Linked DNA regions of Nothobranchius furzeri. The protein of the gene in region 2 interacts with the protein of the main gene of each other region in a pairwise test. Links are inferred from orthologs where the notes say so. Each region holds a gene or a part of one and is shown on either strand. Other genes may lie near its edges. The genes, in order: reep6, snx15 and rabac1.

Region 1 (5,131 bases), on a different chromosome or scaffold from region 2:
CTGTCTCTGCCCTGAACCGGTTGCAGGTTGTCCAAAATGCCGCTGCTAGGTTTTTAACAAACACGAGTCGACATACTGTAGCCATATTACACCAGTCCTGGAACATCTTCACTGGCTCCCCATCACATTTCGTGTGCATTTTAAGATATTGATGTTTGTTTTTAAAGCCCTACACGACCTAGCTCCTCCATATCTGTCCGACCTGCTGACTCCATATGTACCTACTCGTATGTTGAGGTCAGCTGACCGTCTACTGCTTTGCACTCCCCGGATGGCCTACAAATCACGAGGTGAACGTGAGTTTGTCCATGCTGCCCCCATGCTCTAGGACTCACTGCCCAGTACAGTCAGGCTGGCGTCCTCTCTGCCTGTTTTAAATGTCGTTTAAAAACCTACTTTTATGACTTGTCTTTTAGACAGTGATCCATGTCATCCTATTAGGATTTTATAGTTTTTATTGTTGTGTTTTATCGTCCTATTGTTTTTACTTTTGTTTTAATTGATCCTGCCTGTTCAGCACTTCGGTCAGCTCTCACGCTGTGTCTTAAACTGTGCTATAGAAATAACGTTGGCATGGTATGTTTACAGCCTGGTACCAGAACATGTTTTTGGTTTAAATGATCTAGTTTACACTCATGACAACTCTGAGGGGGGTGAATGTTTTTCTCACTCTTCTGTTTAAGTGTATTAAAAGTCTAAAATTCTGTATAATTAATGAGCCTCAGACCCACGTGACCACAGAGCTAGCTCCGTGGAAAGGCCTCAGTAGAGCCTCGGTCTCGCTTAAAAACTGTTCCGTCATTTTCCGTCTCTCAACTTAGACCATTAGTTGTAGCGTTTGTGTTCTTTTTTGGATATTTTTGTGCAATTGTTGGACAAAATGACTTGCTGTGGCATTAATTGCACTAATAGAGCGTCCAAGGAGTCTCCACTTCATTTTTTCGGTAAGTAAAATTATATTTATGTATTTTAGGTCACTGCCGAGCTGAGCTTAGATTTTAACATGTACTGTTTAACCATGACATTTAAATGTAATAGGGTAAAACCCAGTGCATTTAACATAATGCTGCACTTTAGAAAATGGGTTGAAATATAACATGTTGGTGGAGCTGGGTTCCCACTATCGGTATGGTCCCCTCCCCTCAGCGGCAGCTCGGCGCATCGCAGCGGCGCCTGTCTGCTGCGCGGCTGCCGGCTTGTGGAGCTCTCGGTTGGAAACCTCTGTGTTCCACCCGGTTTTACCCAGCGGTCAGCCTGGCACATCTCCGACTCAGAAGCTCCGGTGTTGTGCACAGTTTGCTAGGAAGCTACCTCTGTTAGCTTAGCTCCCCCCTCCGCGTTGGCTTTGGTTTAGCTTGTAGCTACATCACTGTTCGACGGGTGTCATCATTTGATCCCAGCCTTACAGCCCCACCTTCAGCTCCACCTCTTTTCCCTTTTATGGGATTGTCTGGGCGCGACGAGACGTGTGACACAATCAAAATGGCGGTGGTGGCCACCTCCCATTTCAAATTAAAAACTTCTCATACGAGCCTATGTACAGGAATCGTCCACTATATATATATATATATATATATATATATATATATATGTCGATGGTGTCAAGCTGGGAGGTATTGGGTCCCATTTTTTAAAAGTCTTTGGAATGACCCGATTGGGATTTGAACCCCCATCTCCCAATCCCAGGGCAGACACTAAAGTAAAAAAGGTAGCACAGTCAAATAAAAAAGTAGTTCACTGTAGGATAATTATTTGATGCTCTGAATGCTTTAGACAAAACAAATTTACTTAAATAATTGGTTGTTACAGAGAGCCAACTTCTCGATCGAGAGGAGCCAGTTAAGGTGGCTCGGGCATCTGCTTAGGATGCCTTCTGGACGCCTCCCTGGTGAGGTCCGACTGGGAGGAGATCTAAAGGAAGACCCAGGACACGCTGGAGGGACTATGTCTCTCTGCTGGCCAGGGAACGTCTCAGGATTCCCCCAGAGGAGCTGGCCCAAGTAGCTGGGGAGAGGGAAGGGTGGGCCTCCCAGTTAGACTACTGCCCCCGTGACCCATCCCCGAATAAGCGGGCCGAAAACGGATGGATGTTTGGTTGTTTGTTTGAAAGTTGTTAATAAAGGTTTTTATAAAAAGTAGCTCAGTGACCAGCATCCCTGCATGCATTGCGGTCGATCACGCAACACTCCCTTTTCCAGTTCAGCGATTATTTGCACACTTGTATACCGCACACTCGAAGCCTTACTGCACACTTCCTGCAAGTGCACTCTGCTTAGTAGACAGGGTTCAGAAGATTTCACAGATGTTTAGTAAGAATCAACAGGAGGAGAGGCTCCAGAGATGAATAAAAATGTTCAGGACAGCAGGACTTCATCTTGCTTGTCATCCCAGGAGTTTTCTAAGTTTGAGCAGAACGTTGTAGGGCACGGGCTGTAGCCAGAGCTCCTTAAAGGAAAAGCAGCTCACAAGACACTCCCGTAGTTTGGGATTTAAAACAGGAAGTGCATGATAAAGATTAGCCACTAAAATGTGGACTTCTGAAGCTGTGTCAGGATGGGACTCAGAGCCGAGTTGTAGGAAAATAAAGAGTTTCAGCCGCTTTAACTCCAGGACCTGCTGGGAACCTTCACCAGAACACGGTCTGGGGGAAGGCGGATCAACAAAAGGAAACGTCTAACGATGTCAAATTCAGAGGGTTTCTGTTTGAACCAAAACCAACAAACAGGAAATCAGATGCAACTGAAAGGAACATAAAAGTGAGATGAGGAGGCAGTTTAAAGTCCGATTATGCAGAATAATAAACAGAAGCTTTGGCTGCATCTCCTCACAGGAGGATTAACTGAATCCTCTTTTCTCGGACTCGTCCAGGCAGGTACCGTTGTGTCACACCTGGACAGAATCCACCCAGAACCACGGACACCTTTCATCACCTGAACACAGCAGGAGCTTCCTCACATACCCACAGCCAGGACCTTTTTCTTGATCCCCGTCTTTTCCTCCACCTTCCCCAGAAAATCCGTCACCACGTTCTTCTCGTTCAGAAACTTTTCTGCTCGGTCCTTGATGGAGGTGAGAACACCCAGCAGTCCCATGGTCTCCAACAACGTCCTCAAAGAGAAGCAGAGAGGAAAGGATCCTGGACCGGCAGCTGGCAGGTAGTAATCCTCTCACAGCAACAATCTGTTGTAATGAGGAGGTGGAGCGGTGAGGGAGGAGGTGCCTCGTGAGCATCCGTTAATCCCAAAATCATTCATTCAAAAGTCTCATTCTTAGATAGAAACATTAAAACTTCCCCCGATGATTATGTTATGGTTATATAGTTGTTTAAAGTTTCAGTCTTTGCCTTTTCTCCATTTCTCGTTTTTATTCTCCATCAAACACAAAACAGATTTACTCATCCTAAAGGCAAAGTTGTTCATATTTTTGAATCAGCATCTTGAAACAGTGAAATGTCACTCAGACCCCACCGCCCTCTGTGGCCAGGATACCTCAGAGTCCTGGGCCACCGCCTGTTGTGCTGCTGCCAGCATGTTTGTTTTAGATCATGGACACAGTTGTTTGTTTAATTTAGTGATGAATCACTCCTGTAGACACTAAAGAAGGCTGGGGAGACATTTCAGCTATTAGATTTGGGTGTTAAAAAGAAAAAGGCACAGCGAGGAGATTGGTTTCATTTTGGACCACAGATAATTAATAATGGACACTAGGGGGTGCTAAAAGCAAGAAAAACTGCAGAGTGTGCCCTTAAATGCCAGTTGTGCAGAAACAACACAAAACATCAAGGGGCCATGTAGGTTTTTTTAAACCTTAAATGGTTTTATTTATATATATATATATATATATATATATTTTTTTTTTTTTTTTTGGAGCACACTAGAACTACAGCTGGTAACTTTTACTTATAATGTGTTACAGTCATATCCCCATTCGCACATTCGGGTGCCTTCACAAGCATGTGAGAATGGCCTTGTTTGAGATGAGCGGCGCCTCGCCTGGAAAACAGGTGAGAGCAGACGGACGCAGCGGTGGGAGTGGCTAAAAGCCTGCGTTTAAGTGGGACAGGTTTCTCTACATGTAGCTTGCGGGTGACGATGGCTGAAGAAATCGCATTAGCGTTCATAATTGCGTAACCCTCTGGTGCCTGTTAGCAACTGAAACACATCCTCACATGCGTGTGGAGATCATGTGTTGTAGACATGTGCTTATGGAGACATGACTGTAACAATAAGTAAAGGTTAGCAGCTGTAGTTTTAGTGTGCTCATAGGAAACGTGACAAAAGAACGTAATCACATTTCTCTGTATGGCCTGTATAGTTGTCATCATCAACGTAACATGATTTACAGAATACATGTGACCAACTATCATTTAACGTTCCACCACAGGATGTTTGGATCAAAAGTCGGCGTTGAAGCTTCTTTCCGGAGTATTTCTCTTATCTGATGGCACCATCTAGTGGCTGACAAGCATATCACACAAAAAGTCTGTTCCTCTGTTTGTTTAAGATGGCGACTTCACGTTTCTGGTTATAAATGTGCTTCTGCAGCTGACAAACGGAGCTAAAACACGCTGTTTTACGAGTATTATTCTCATGTCATGTTGTGTTTTCATATATTTATATTTTAGAGACTTACTTGTCCGTGAAACGTTCATCAACTCTGCATCAGCCGAGGTATTCCTTAAATTTGAAGCACGTAAGCGGTAGTCTAACACAGTTGGTTAGCTCTGGTCGGCGCTCAGTTCCCTATTGAATGGAGCTCTGTGGGGCAGGGGGCGTGTTTAGCAAAAAAAAAAAAAAAAGACATATTGCTTACATTTGATCACAGCACATGATGGGATAATCACTTTAACAGATTCTGAACAATCATACATCATTTTTGAAAGGGGAAAACTCCGGAATGCAGCTTTAAGTCGGATCCAACCGGCATGCACCGCACGCCGATCACTGGTATTCTAATCTGCGCAGAACTGGCTCATCTCGAACACGGCCATTTACTTCCTGGATTGTTGGATTGTCTGGGCATGGCAACGACACGTGTGACACAGCCAAGATGGCGTACGTGGGAACCGCCCTTTTGGCCTCATGAGGAGGGAAGTGGGAGGCTTTGTCCAGGATTATTACACGTCTGTGGA
Region 2 (5,073 bases):
CATCTCTAACTGGTTTCTAGAACATGACCACGAGCTCCCTGGACTCCAGAGACCTCCACAGTCACCTGATCTCAGTCCAGTCCAGAACCTGTGAGATGTGGTGGAACTGGAGGTTCTCATCATGGATGGAGCTGTGTGATGCTGTCATATCTTTATGGACCAGAACCTCAGAGGGAGGTTTCCAGCACCTCTGTGGATCTATGACATGAAGATGTGAGCTGGTTCTGAAGGTAAAAGGAAGTCCAGCCCATTAACAGAAGAGTCTGTGTAAGAACAAACCCACAAAGAGCAGAACCGGGTCGGGAGCAGTGTTGGGAAAGTTACTTTTAAAAAGTAATTAGTTATAGTTACTGATTACTTTGTCAAAAAAGTAACTCCGTTACTAACGGAGTTACGAGATTATAAAAGTAACTACTTACCAAGAAAAATAACTACTTAGTTACTTTTTTCATTAAAGAATACAAGAAAAATTGGTTAATTGAACTTACTTAATTTACTATAAATGACTACAATAGTGAAATATTAATAACTAATGACTGGAGCATAATAAAGTGTCCAAATGTTTTTTATAAACCTGAATAATTATAAAAATAAATAAGCACTTAACAGGAGGAACTACTAACAGGAGCATTACACTAATCTAGACTATTAAAAGGTCTCTGTGTGATATCTAACAAGACCCCAATCAGCTAACATTTAAAACTGCAAATAGAAACACCTGTAAAGGTTCCCGAGCCTTTAAATGGTCTCTCAGTCTAGTTAAATTACAGAAATGAATGTAATTTTGTACAGTAGTTTAATTTTTCCAGCTTCACATAATTGTGTGTTTTAGTAGCATTTCTGTTGCTGCTAGTCTAGTAACGGTTAAATAAATAAATAAATTAACCTTTCTCAGTGGCCTAGTGGTAGAGTGTCCGCCCTGAGACTGGGAGATCAGGGGTTCAATTCCTGGTCGGGTCAATCCAAAGACTTTGAAAAAATGGGACCCAATGCCTCCCTGCTTGACACTCAGCATTAAGGGGTTGGATTGGGGGGTTAAACCACCAAATGGTTCCCGAGCGCGGCTGTGTCTGCAGCTCACCGCTCCCCCAGGGGATGGGTCAAATGCGGAGAACAAATTTTGCACACACACCTGTGTGTGTGTCCACTAGTTGGACTTTAACTTTAAATTTAAAATCCTTTAAAATGACACGTGAAGAGGCACAAGCCTGATGGAGGACTCACATTTACTAACGTGGGTCAGACCCAACCACAGAAGAGCTGAAGCTGGGTGGTAACACACACAGGTAGTTCTAATAACACCTGAGCTCCATGACGTCTGAGACTGATGCATCAGTGTTACAGCGGGACTAAAGACATGATCAGGAACAGGTTACAGCTGGATGATCTAGGAAGGTAGAAGATCAGGACGTCTGAGCGGTGAACAGGTGAGCGGACCTTCAGGACGTCCCGCTGTCACGCTAAGAAGATCCACACCTGCAGCCGTAGATATTCATCACGTCTTCCTCGTTCTTCACGGCCGTGATGCTCTTGGATGAAAACATCTGCCTCTTTAGCTCCTGATCAGCTGATGACAGCTTCAACACACCGCGCTGCTTAACGCACGCATTTCCTTATCAGTAACAGAAACCACGTTTGATAAAAGAAGACGGTAATTAATTAGTTTGCTCGTTACTGAAAGAAATATTTTTTTTTAGTAACGCGGTTATTTTAAACGGCGTTACTCCCATCACTGCTCTGTTGTGTCTACAGCAGGCAGAGACTGAGACCGTGAGGGTCTCCGCCCACCCGGCCAATCATCATCGTGTTTGTAAGCGCCTTACCGACACCTCTCTCTCCCTGGCTGCAGCTGAAGTGTGGCGGTCAGAAAGCCTCACACTGCTGCTCAGCGTTCGACAAGCACATAGTAACGCACAACCTCCCGTCCCCAGTAACGGTAACGGCGGTGCAACGGTGGGAGAAGTAATTAATTAGATTATTCCCTTACCTAAAAAAGAACGCCGTTAGTTACGCCGTTATACTTAAACAGCGTTACTCCCATCACTGCTCAGGAGTCATGAAGGCAAAAGTTACAGGAAGTAAAGAAAACAAGACCGGTGCTGGAAAAGGCAACGTTAGGATATGAAACGGCCTCAAGTTGTTCACATTAACTAATGGAGGTGTGGAAAAGCGTAACGTTTGTTTACTAAAGTAAATGTTTGTCCACCTTGTTTATAGCAGGGATCAAAGACAGCCAGGTCGTTATCTGAGAGGGGAGGGGGTCCCTCGTCCTTGGAGGACAGGGCCCGGTCTTCCTCCAAACCGTCAAACAGAGAGTCAAACTCCTCTTGAGCCGCTGCTGATCGATGGAGTCTCACTGGAGACGGCTCGGGGGAGGAAGCTGGAGCACGAAACGAGAACAAACAGGTGAAAACGACAAGACAAGAAAGAAAAGATTTCTACGCATTCTAACATCTATACCCCGATCTTCTGGTTCTGCGTCGCTAACATCTTCTTCTTCTTCTCTGGGACATCTCTCCACCTCGCTGTAGGCCTCAGCAGCTAGCTCCGGTTCCCCCACCACTAGGCTGATGTTGGTGCCCAGGTCCTGGGGTAAGGTGGGCGCCTCTCTGCCCTCCTCCTCTTCAGCAGGCTCACAGTCTGAGGCTCTCCGCTTGGGCAGGGGGATAAGCGGGGGAGGGAGAGCCCCACCCAGGGACAGGGGAGAGGAATCAAGCGGTCTAGTGACTTCTCCACCCTGGAGGAAGGGAGAAGTGACATGACAACAGTCACAGTACAGCATTTCTATGAGAGACTAGTTTATTTTGCCCTCCTCACCCCGAAGAAGTCCTTGAGCTGTGGGCTGTTGTAGAGCGCGGGTATGCTGGCGGTGAACAGAAGCATGGCTTCTGCCGCCTTCCTCCTCTCCTCAATCACAGCTTCGTCAAACCTTCCTGGAGCAAACAAAGGAAGGGTTGATGAACTGTAGATAGACGACCTACTAAGCTAGTGTTTACTCTTTCAGAGCCGCATTTTCCATCTCCACCTACAAACTTCCCCTTTGGTTACCACAGAGGGGGAGATGTCACAAGAACGATGGCGGCAGACCGACAGGAGCAAGCAGCCCTTCTGTCTGATCCTGACGCAGCTCTGAATGAAACCAGTCCGCTGCTTGTAACCGTCCTCGCTCCACGTACCAAACACCTGCGCTCGTGGGAAAGCTGGGAAGTCCTCGTGCCTCCTGAACAGGTTCCTGTGCGTGTAGACCAGCTCTCCGTGGAGCTTCTTCAGCTCTGAGAACCTCTTCCACACCACCACCTCCTTCACGTCTTCGGGATGACGCTTGGACACAAACTGCCAAACACATTCAGAAGTGAAGATGGATCCTTTCTGCTCCAGAGCATTAAAGAGGTCATGAGGGATCAGGAGCTCAGTCACGAGTTCTCTCTGTGTTAGCCTCGCTGGCTCTGCTAAAGGATCCGCTGTTTGTTTTCATATCTGAGCACGGATCGGATATCTGTCTGTTTTACTCAGGTAACTTGTTTTTCTGTTCTGTTACAAACGTAAATGGTGTCAGAAACTCCATTTAGCGTTATTAGAGTTAATTACAGTGTAACTACAGTCCCCGAAACGGCAGATAAAAGGATAAAGAGCAGAAACTAACCCGGGCTGACACTCGGTACTCGGTGTGCCCCTTCTCGTGTGTCCGCGGGTCAGTCACCGTAAAGAAGCGATAATAGTCTTCGCTGACTTTCCTCGACATGTTCTCTGTCGGTTCGGTTCTGACTAAATAAAACTCAGAACCACAACGGAACCAGTCCGAAATCGTGGAGACGCGCTCTGTTGTGATGCTGCTTCAGTTACTACGCGCCACGGACACTTCCTGGTTGGGTACGTCCGCAAAACGCGATGACGTATAATGGAAGCGACGTCGCAAACTACAATAGACCGTTCTCCTTGGGCCCAAATTCTCGCCTCTTATATTGCTAATAGTCCTATGAAAGGTATAAACATAGCAGACAGAGAGGTTGTCATCAGCCAGCTGGCAGATGATACCACCATTTTTCTTAAAAATGCTAGTCAGGTGTCAATTGCCCTGAAAATTTTAGATGACTTCTCAAAAGCTTCTGGATTCATATTAAATTTAAACAAATGTCACTTATTACCTATCAACAATTGTAATGATCATAGTATTTGTAATATAGCTATTCAACACGAAGTAACATATTTAGGCTTGATTATCTGTAAAGATAAAAAAAACAGAATTACCTCTAATTTCTCTCCAATAATTAAAAAACTCAATCTAAGTTAAATCAGTGGTTACAAAGAGATTTAAGTTTAAGAGGACGAGTGTTGCTCTCCTAAGCAGAAGGTTTGTCTCGCCTGACTTATGCTGCCACATCTCTGCATGTGGACAACAGAACTTGTGGGGAAATTGACCGAATGCTCTTCAACTTCTTGTGGAAAAACAAAACACATTACATTAGAAAGAGTGTAAAAATGAATGACTATCAACATGGAGGACTCAATATCTTGGACTTCACTACCTTAAACTACACGTTTAAAATTAAATGGACAAAACATTTTCTTAAAAATCCTGTCTCCATTTGGAATTTTATTCTTCACCATATCTTCTCTAAATTTGGTGGTCTAACTTTTATCCTGGGTTGTGACTACAATGTAGGAAAGCTGCCAGAAAAACTTTCAATGTTTCACAAACAAGTTCTATTAGCCCGGTCACTGATTTATAAACATAATTTTACTCCCCATACATACTTGATCTGGAATAACAGGAACATAGTGTATAAAAACAAGTCATTGTTTTTCTCTAATTGAGTTGAGAAGCAGATAATTTTTGTGAATCAGTTGTATAATACTAATGGACAGCTCATGTCTTACACAGAACTCCTAAACACATATAAATTTCCAGCATTTCCCAAAGAATATGCCACACTGTTTGCTGCAACTACCATCGGTGTTAGAATGCTTTTTAAAGGTGTTCTACCAGTTGTACCGCCTATTTCTCCTCCCGACCCCGTGAACACATACGTGGGAAAAGTTTGTCTTATCGAGCACAAAAACAGTAATAGGAAT
Region 3 (5,131 bases), on a different chromosome or scaffold from region 2:
TGCACCAAACCCACTCTGCATGCAGACTGTTCTCAGAGCAGCCCAGAACAAACAACCACTGCTCAGATAAAAATAACTCGTTCTGTGAATATAGCAGAACAGGCTGTAATGGTGCCACCTCTCAGGGGCTGCCTATTAAAAATAAAGCCCTCGCTCCCCAGGGCGTGCACAAACTGAACGAAACAGACTCTTAAACAAAGCTACGGTTGGACTCTTAACTTTTCCACCATCAGGAAAACATTTAGGACATGTCCTTTTGGAGAATCACTAAAACTTTCTGGGACTGGTCCACTGCTTTCCAATGACAAACCCTTTCCTGCTCAAACACACACTTTCTGTCAGTCTCACTGACAAACACCCTCTCGCCCTCACCCTTGTTCTAATTTCCCCCGTGTCTCTGCAGCGAGCTCGCTGCCTCTCCTCCCCCCTCGCCACCCTACGTATAATAGAATATCGATCGCTTGGCTTTGCCGCAGTGTGTAAGCGAGTGTTCCCGTGTTCGAGTGTGCGTCTGACTGGGGCCCTCCAAGGTCATTGCCATGGCAACCTGAGCACGGGGTCTTTTTGCTGCGCTGTCACAGAGCACAGGTCACAGGGGTCGCGTGAAGAGGTGGAACAAGGGGGGGGGGGGGGGGTGCACGCTGCAGTTTGGTGCACTTAAGAGATACAGGGAGAAGAGGAGTCGTGGGTTTGTCTTATTCAGACTGGACTGGAATAACAACACATACAGAAATATGTGCCGAGGGCCACCGAGTCCGACGCAGCGACTGCCCCGTGCGTGCACATGTACACGCCAACTCTTACGAGAATAAAACTAAAGACAAGTAACAGTAACAGAATTTATTGCACTTCCAACGTTTCAGCACAGAACGCATAATTTACAAATGAATTTCTAAAATGTGCTTTTCGTGACCTTTCCCACCAGAATGTCTGAACCAGAGCTGATCAAATAAATAAAAAGAGAAGCCACATAATGTTCAAAACTAATTAAAAAACTAAATGGCACTTGACCTTCGGACATGCGTCGATACCAGCAGTTTGGATGGTGCCGTCAGAATTTACTTTGCAGGATGCCCACAGCTAGGAATTCAGCGCAGATGCTCCGCTAAAGAGCAAGAGGCTTCATGGCACAAACCAGAGGCATCGCAGGCTTAATATATGCAGATAAAGGCGAATAATGTGCTTCAAGCAATAAGAAATTCATTATTTATGCATTTGTGTAACAACAGTTATTTATCATGCAACATAAGGTGCATTCGTAATACAATGCCATAAGGTAAACATGAGGAAGAAGGATATATGTATAGATATAAAAAAATCTTCAAGGAGATTCTCAAAGGGTCAAAACGAGGACTGATCATGGAGCAGCTCTTTAGACCGGCTCCATGAGGAGCTCATCCAGGTCCGACGCCTCCAACTCTCGGAACGCAGCATGAGAGCCGATCACAAACAGAGTTGCTCCTGACAGGAAACCACACAGAACAGGAAAAATGGATGTAAAAAGAAACGATTTTAGTTCTTAATCAAGATGAAACATCAGAAAAAGATTACGAGGAAAGAACAAATCATGTTCAGCTTACCGAGAACCCAAAACACAGCGGCTCCGGCTCCTGCCAACCAGAAAACGGGCAGAGAAACGGCTCCAGCCAGACTCATCTGGTGTGGGACTGTCAGTTCTCTGCCTGATAAACAAGAAATATGAAGAAAAATATTAAAAATAGGGTTTGTGGTGCTAAATGCAGCGTGGGTTAAATCCAGAACAGGCATGGATGACATATTTAAAAGGTTTCACACAGAATAAAAAAAAATAGACCTTGAATGTTAAAAAAAAAAAAAAACTAAATCTGGTAAATTTGAAAAGATTATGGATTTGTAGGAAATGTACTCACCGAGAACAACCAGTTTGGACTCCAGAGACTTAAGGTGGATGGCGTAGAAGGCACCAGCATACACGGCTAAGGCAATCAGCAGCATGGGCGAGCTGATACTGAGGAGCAGGAAAAATGAACAGGGCTGTCAGGCTGGAGCTATTTAAAGCAGACTGTCGACATTTTTCTAGAAGCCAGAGTCTCACAGATGATCTAATTAACATTTTTTGTTTTAATGAAGCTCTCTTTGATTAGGTCTTACATGCAGTAGAGGATGAGCCCCAGAAATATGAAGGTATAGTTGCTGTTGTAAACTTCCACATTTTTAACCACCCTCTGACACAACTCTCCAAAGTTGCGAGGTTTTGAAAATTTGCGCTGGTCTACAAAGCTGGCCCACGGTCGGATGGACAACCTGCGCCTGTCGAACCACTCCTTAGCCATGCTGGCCGAGATGCCTTTAGGAAGCCAGAGCCTATAAAAATAAACAAAATAGAATATCATCAACACACCAAAGCCAGGGTAAAAATATGAAAGCATGGTGGTTCACACCTTGAGAGGACTCCGATGCCCCCTGTGCCGGTTGGATGGGCCTCATCTGGGATGAACAAATCTCCAGCTTTGCTGTCCATGTCCACCATGACGTTCTCCCCTTTAGGCACTCCAGATAACATTTAGAGACTGTTGACTGAAACAGAATCACATTGAATGTGGACTAAACTTTTACAAAAACAATTAGCCTGGATTTACTCATTTTTATTTGATGCAACGGTGTAGCATCTTATTTAGACTTTGGTTGCGTTTCCACTCATTTTCTGGTAGATGTATTATTATTATTATTTTTTGCCTATGAAGCCCCTTATTTCTAGTCTATAAATCCTTCAGGCATAAAACATTTCTGAAACTGGTGTAGTGTAGTGTAGTGGACATTTAAATCCTATTTTTTAAATTAGAATCGATGACAAAATACCAAAGATTAAACAATTTGAGAAATTAAAAAAAGGTACTTTAGCACACACACACACACACACACACACACACACACACACACACACACACACACACACACACACAAAACGGATTCCAAAAGATATATTGACTGAAAACTTGACATATGGTCGTTTCTATAACTGCACCATTTTCATTGACCTTCAGATCTACTGTAGACACATGTTTTAACCCCAACACTTCTTATTTTATCTTTCATATTCCTCGTGTTCCCAGTAAACCTCCCTGGTTCTTAAGCTGTTTTGAAAGCAATAATCGCAAATGTCAATGGAGCTAACTTTTGATTTTTCGTATTTTAAAACGCCACATTTGACACGTCATAATCTAAAACGGTCTCAAGTGTATAAACAATCACTGTCTAATGATTACATGTCTTTCTAGTTTAATGGCGATCCTTAGTTAGAGAAACAGGAAGAAGTAGAAACAGGGCCCGGCCAGTGCCACATCACTAAATAAACAGGATAACCGAGAAACTCTCGTTACCAAACAACAGTGTCTAGAAGTAGCAATTTCAAATATAAATATTATACTCACGACGAGTCTATTTAAAACCTGAATGTAAATGTAAAATGCTAGCTTATGAGCTAATGTTTACGTCTACTTCCGGATTTTATTTAACGTCAACGTAATTTTCACTTGTTTTTAAAATAAGAATTTAAATTACAACATACCTGCCAAAATGCTAAACCCTTAAATCATTCACCAAAATGTAGGCAGAAGTTTCACCAGACAGCCTGAGCTGTCTTTTGTTGCTGTTCTGGATCTCGGAAGTGATGTGGCTGCTGGAGAAGAAGAAAAAACTTCCTACTTCGCTGACTCTAGGCAGGGCCACCTACTGGCTACATAGAGTACTTCGAATTTTGTGTTACACAACACAGGTGGAACTTTTCATTTGTATTACTTTTTATTTTATTTATTTATTTTTTTGCATTATTTTTACTTCATCCAAAAAACGGAGTTTTTTCTCTTAACAGCCGAAAACACATCTGTTGAAAAAGCCGACCTGAGATCGGCTGCCTGTTTTCTGCGGTGGCTGCTCAAAACCACACAAGCACGAAAAACTGACTGCAGATCAGAAATGGTAAAAACGTGACCTTACGTCATGTAACAAACAAAGAGGCTGTGATTGGTAGATAGACGAGTGTTGTGGTGCTGCCGTCACTGGGCACGCGGCACTGTGGAAGTTGCTAGATCCGCCAGCGAAAGAAAGGAAACAAACATTAGAAGGTGAGGCGCTATTAATTATCTTATCAAATTTAGCTGTTGGAATGTTTTTACGTGTTGTTAAATGTAATCTTCAGACCTTGGGGTTTATGACAGTTCTGTTTTTGTTAGTCATTAATAAAGTAACGTTTCAATGCTAAAACAAAATGTACGCGTTTTTTTTTACAAATGCACTAAAGGGGGACACAGCGCCATAGCAGCATATTAGCCTACGCTGGCTCCGTTAGCTTTAGCTTATTCGGCTCTTTAGCTTACTCAGCTCAACAGCTGTCCTGGCTGGGTGTTTAATGACCGTTTTTTTCTCCACAGAAACCGTGACAGGATACATAAACTCGTATAAAGCGTAAAACCGTAACACAAGAGGAACGAGTCGTTTCAGGAGCCTCCAGCTGCTTTCATACACATTTTGCCTGAAGATAAAAACGACACCGCTGACTGGTTCGTGTGTGTGGAGAGCGTCAAGCTGAAACGGTAAAAGGCAGGAATGTTCAGCTCCACACACACTGAGCTCACGTACATTAACATTTTATATCCTGACTCCCGAGGAAAATACATTTCTATGTCATATTTTTTCAAAATCTCACATATATATTATAACTTAGTCGACTATAAGTATAAATAATGTCAGAAAATATGGTGTAAATAGTTGCATTTTCCCCAAAAAAGCTAATTATATTTTATATTTTTGTTTAATTTCCAATAACAATCAGTATTAATAGATTATTTAAAAAAATGCTCAACAAAATAGGGTAAATAACAGCAAATAAACCAAACTGGAGAACGTTTATTCAAACAATTGATAATTGTGTTAAAATATTGCTAAATTACTAAATTAGGTTAACATCCCCCAAAACTTCCTAACTTCCTAATATCTCCCAAAATAGCTTGAAAATGAGTTTTCTTCTTTTCTTTTTTTTTTTTTTTTTTGACAAAAGTTGCTTTTAAGAACCTCGTTTTCCTTAAATAGTAAGTGGAAGTCCTTCAAGCCCTTTCTCTAAAGATTTATGAGTTGTATCTGGAGTATGCATGAG

Evidence for each region.
Region 1: the proteins of snx15 (region 2) and reep6 interact in binary tests that used the Homo sapiens proteins (3 or more experiments, as listed by UniProt). The two-hybrid records come from large-scale screens. The link is inferred for Nothobranchius furzeri from reciprocal best matches to the Homo sapiens genes SNX15 and REEP6.
Region 3: the proteins of snx15 (region 2) and rabac1 interact in binary tests that used the Homo sapiens proteins (3 or more experiments, as listed by UniProt). The two-hybrid records come from large-scale screens. The link is inferred for Nothobranchius furzeri from reciprocal best matches to the Homo sapiens genes SNX15 and RABAC1.

What each region holds. Positions count from the first base shown.
Region 1 is NC_091748.1:78,702,098-78,707,228, forward strand, and holds the start of reep6 (receptor expression-enhancing protein 6), read right to left. Parts: upstream 3,093-5,131; coding exon 2,960-3,092; intron 1-2,959. UniProt on the Homo sapiens protein: Required for correct function and survival of retinal photoreceptors. Required for retinal development.
Region 2 is NC_091754.1:59,455,806-59,460,878, forward strand, and holds the start of snx15 (sorting nexin-15), read right to left. Parts: upstream 3,869-5,073; 5' UTR 3,743-3,868; coding exon 3,644-3,742; intron 3,334-3,643; coding exon 3,177-3,333; intron 2,934-3,176; coding exon 2,818-2,933; intron 2,738-2,817; coding exon 2,461-2,737; intron 2,381-2,460; coding exon 2,207-2,380; intron 1-2,206. UniProt on the Homo sapiens protein: May be involved in several stages of intracellular trafficking. Overexpression of SNX15 disrupts the normal trafficking of proteins from the plasma membrane to recycling endosomes or the TGN.
Region 3 is NC_091745.1:74,794,388-74,799,518, forward strand, and holds rabac1 (prenylated Rab acceptor protein 1), read right to left. Parts: upstream 3,683-5,131; 5' UTR 3,548-3,682; intron 2,557-3,547; 5' UTR 2,543-2,556; coding exon 2,421-2,542; intron 2,344-2,420; coding exon 2,131-2,343; intron 1,988-2,130; coding exon 1,890-1,987; intron 1,683-1,889; coding exon 1,581-1,682; intron 1,462-1,580; coding exon 1,373-1,461; 3' UTR 826-1,372; downstream 1-825. UniProt on the Homo sapiens protein: General Rab protein regulator required for vesicle formation from the Golgi complex. May control vesicle docking and fusion by mediating the action of Rab GTPases to the SNARE complexes.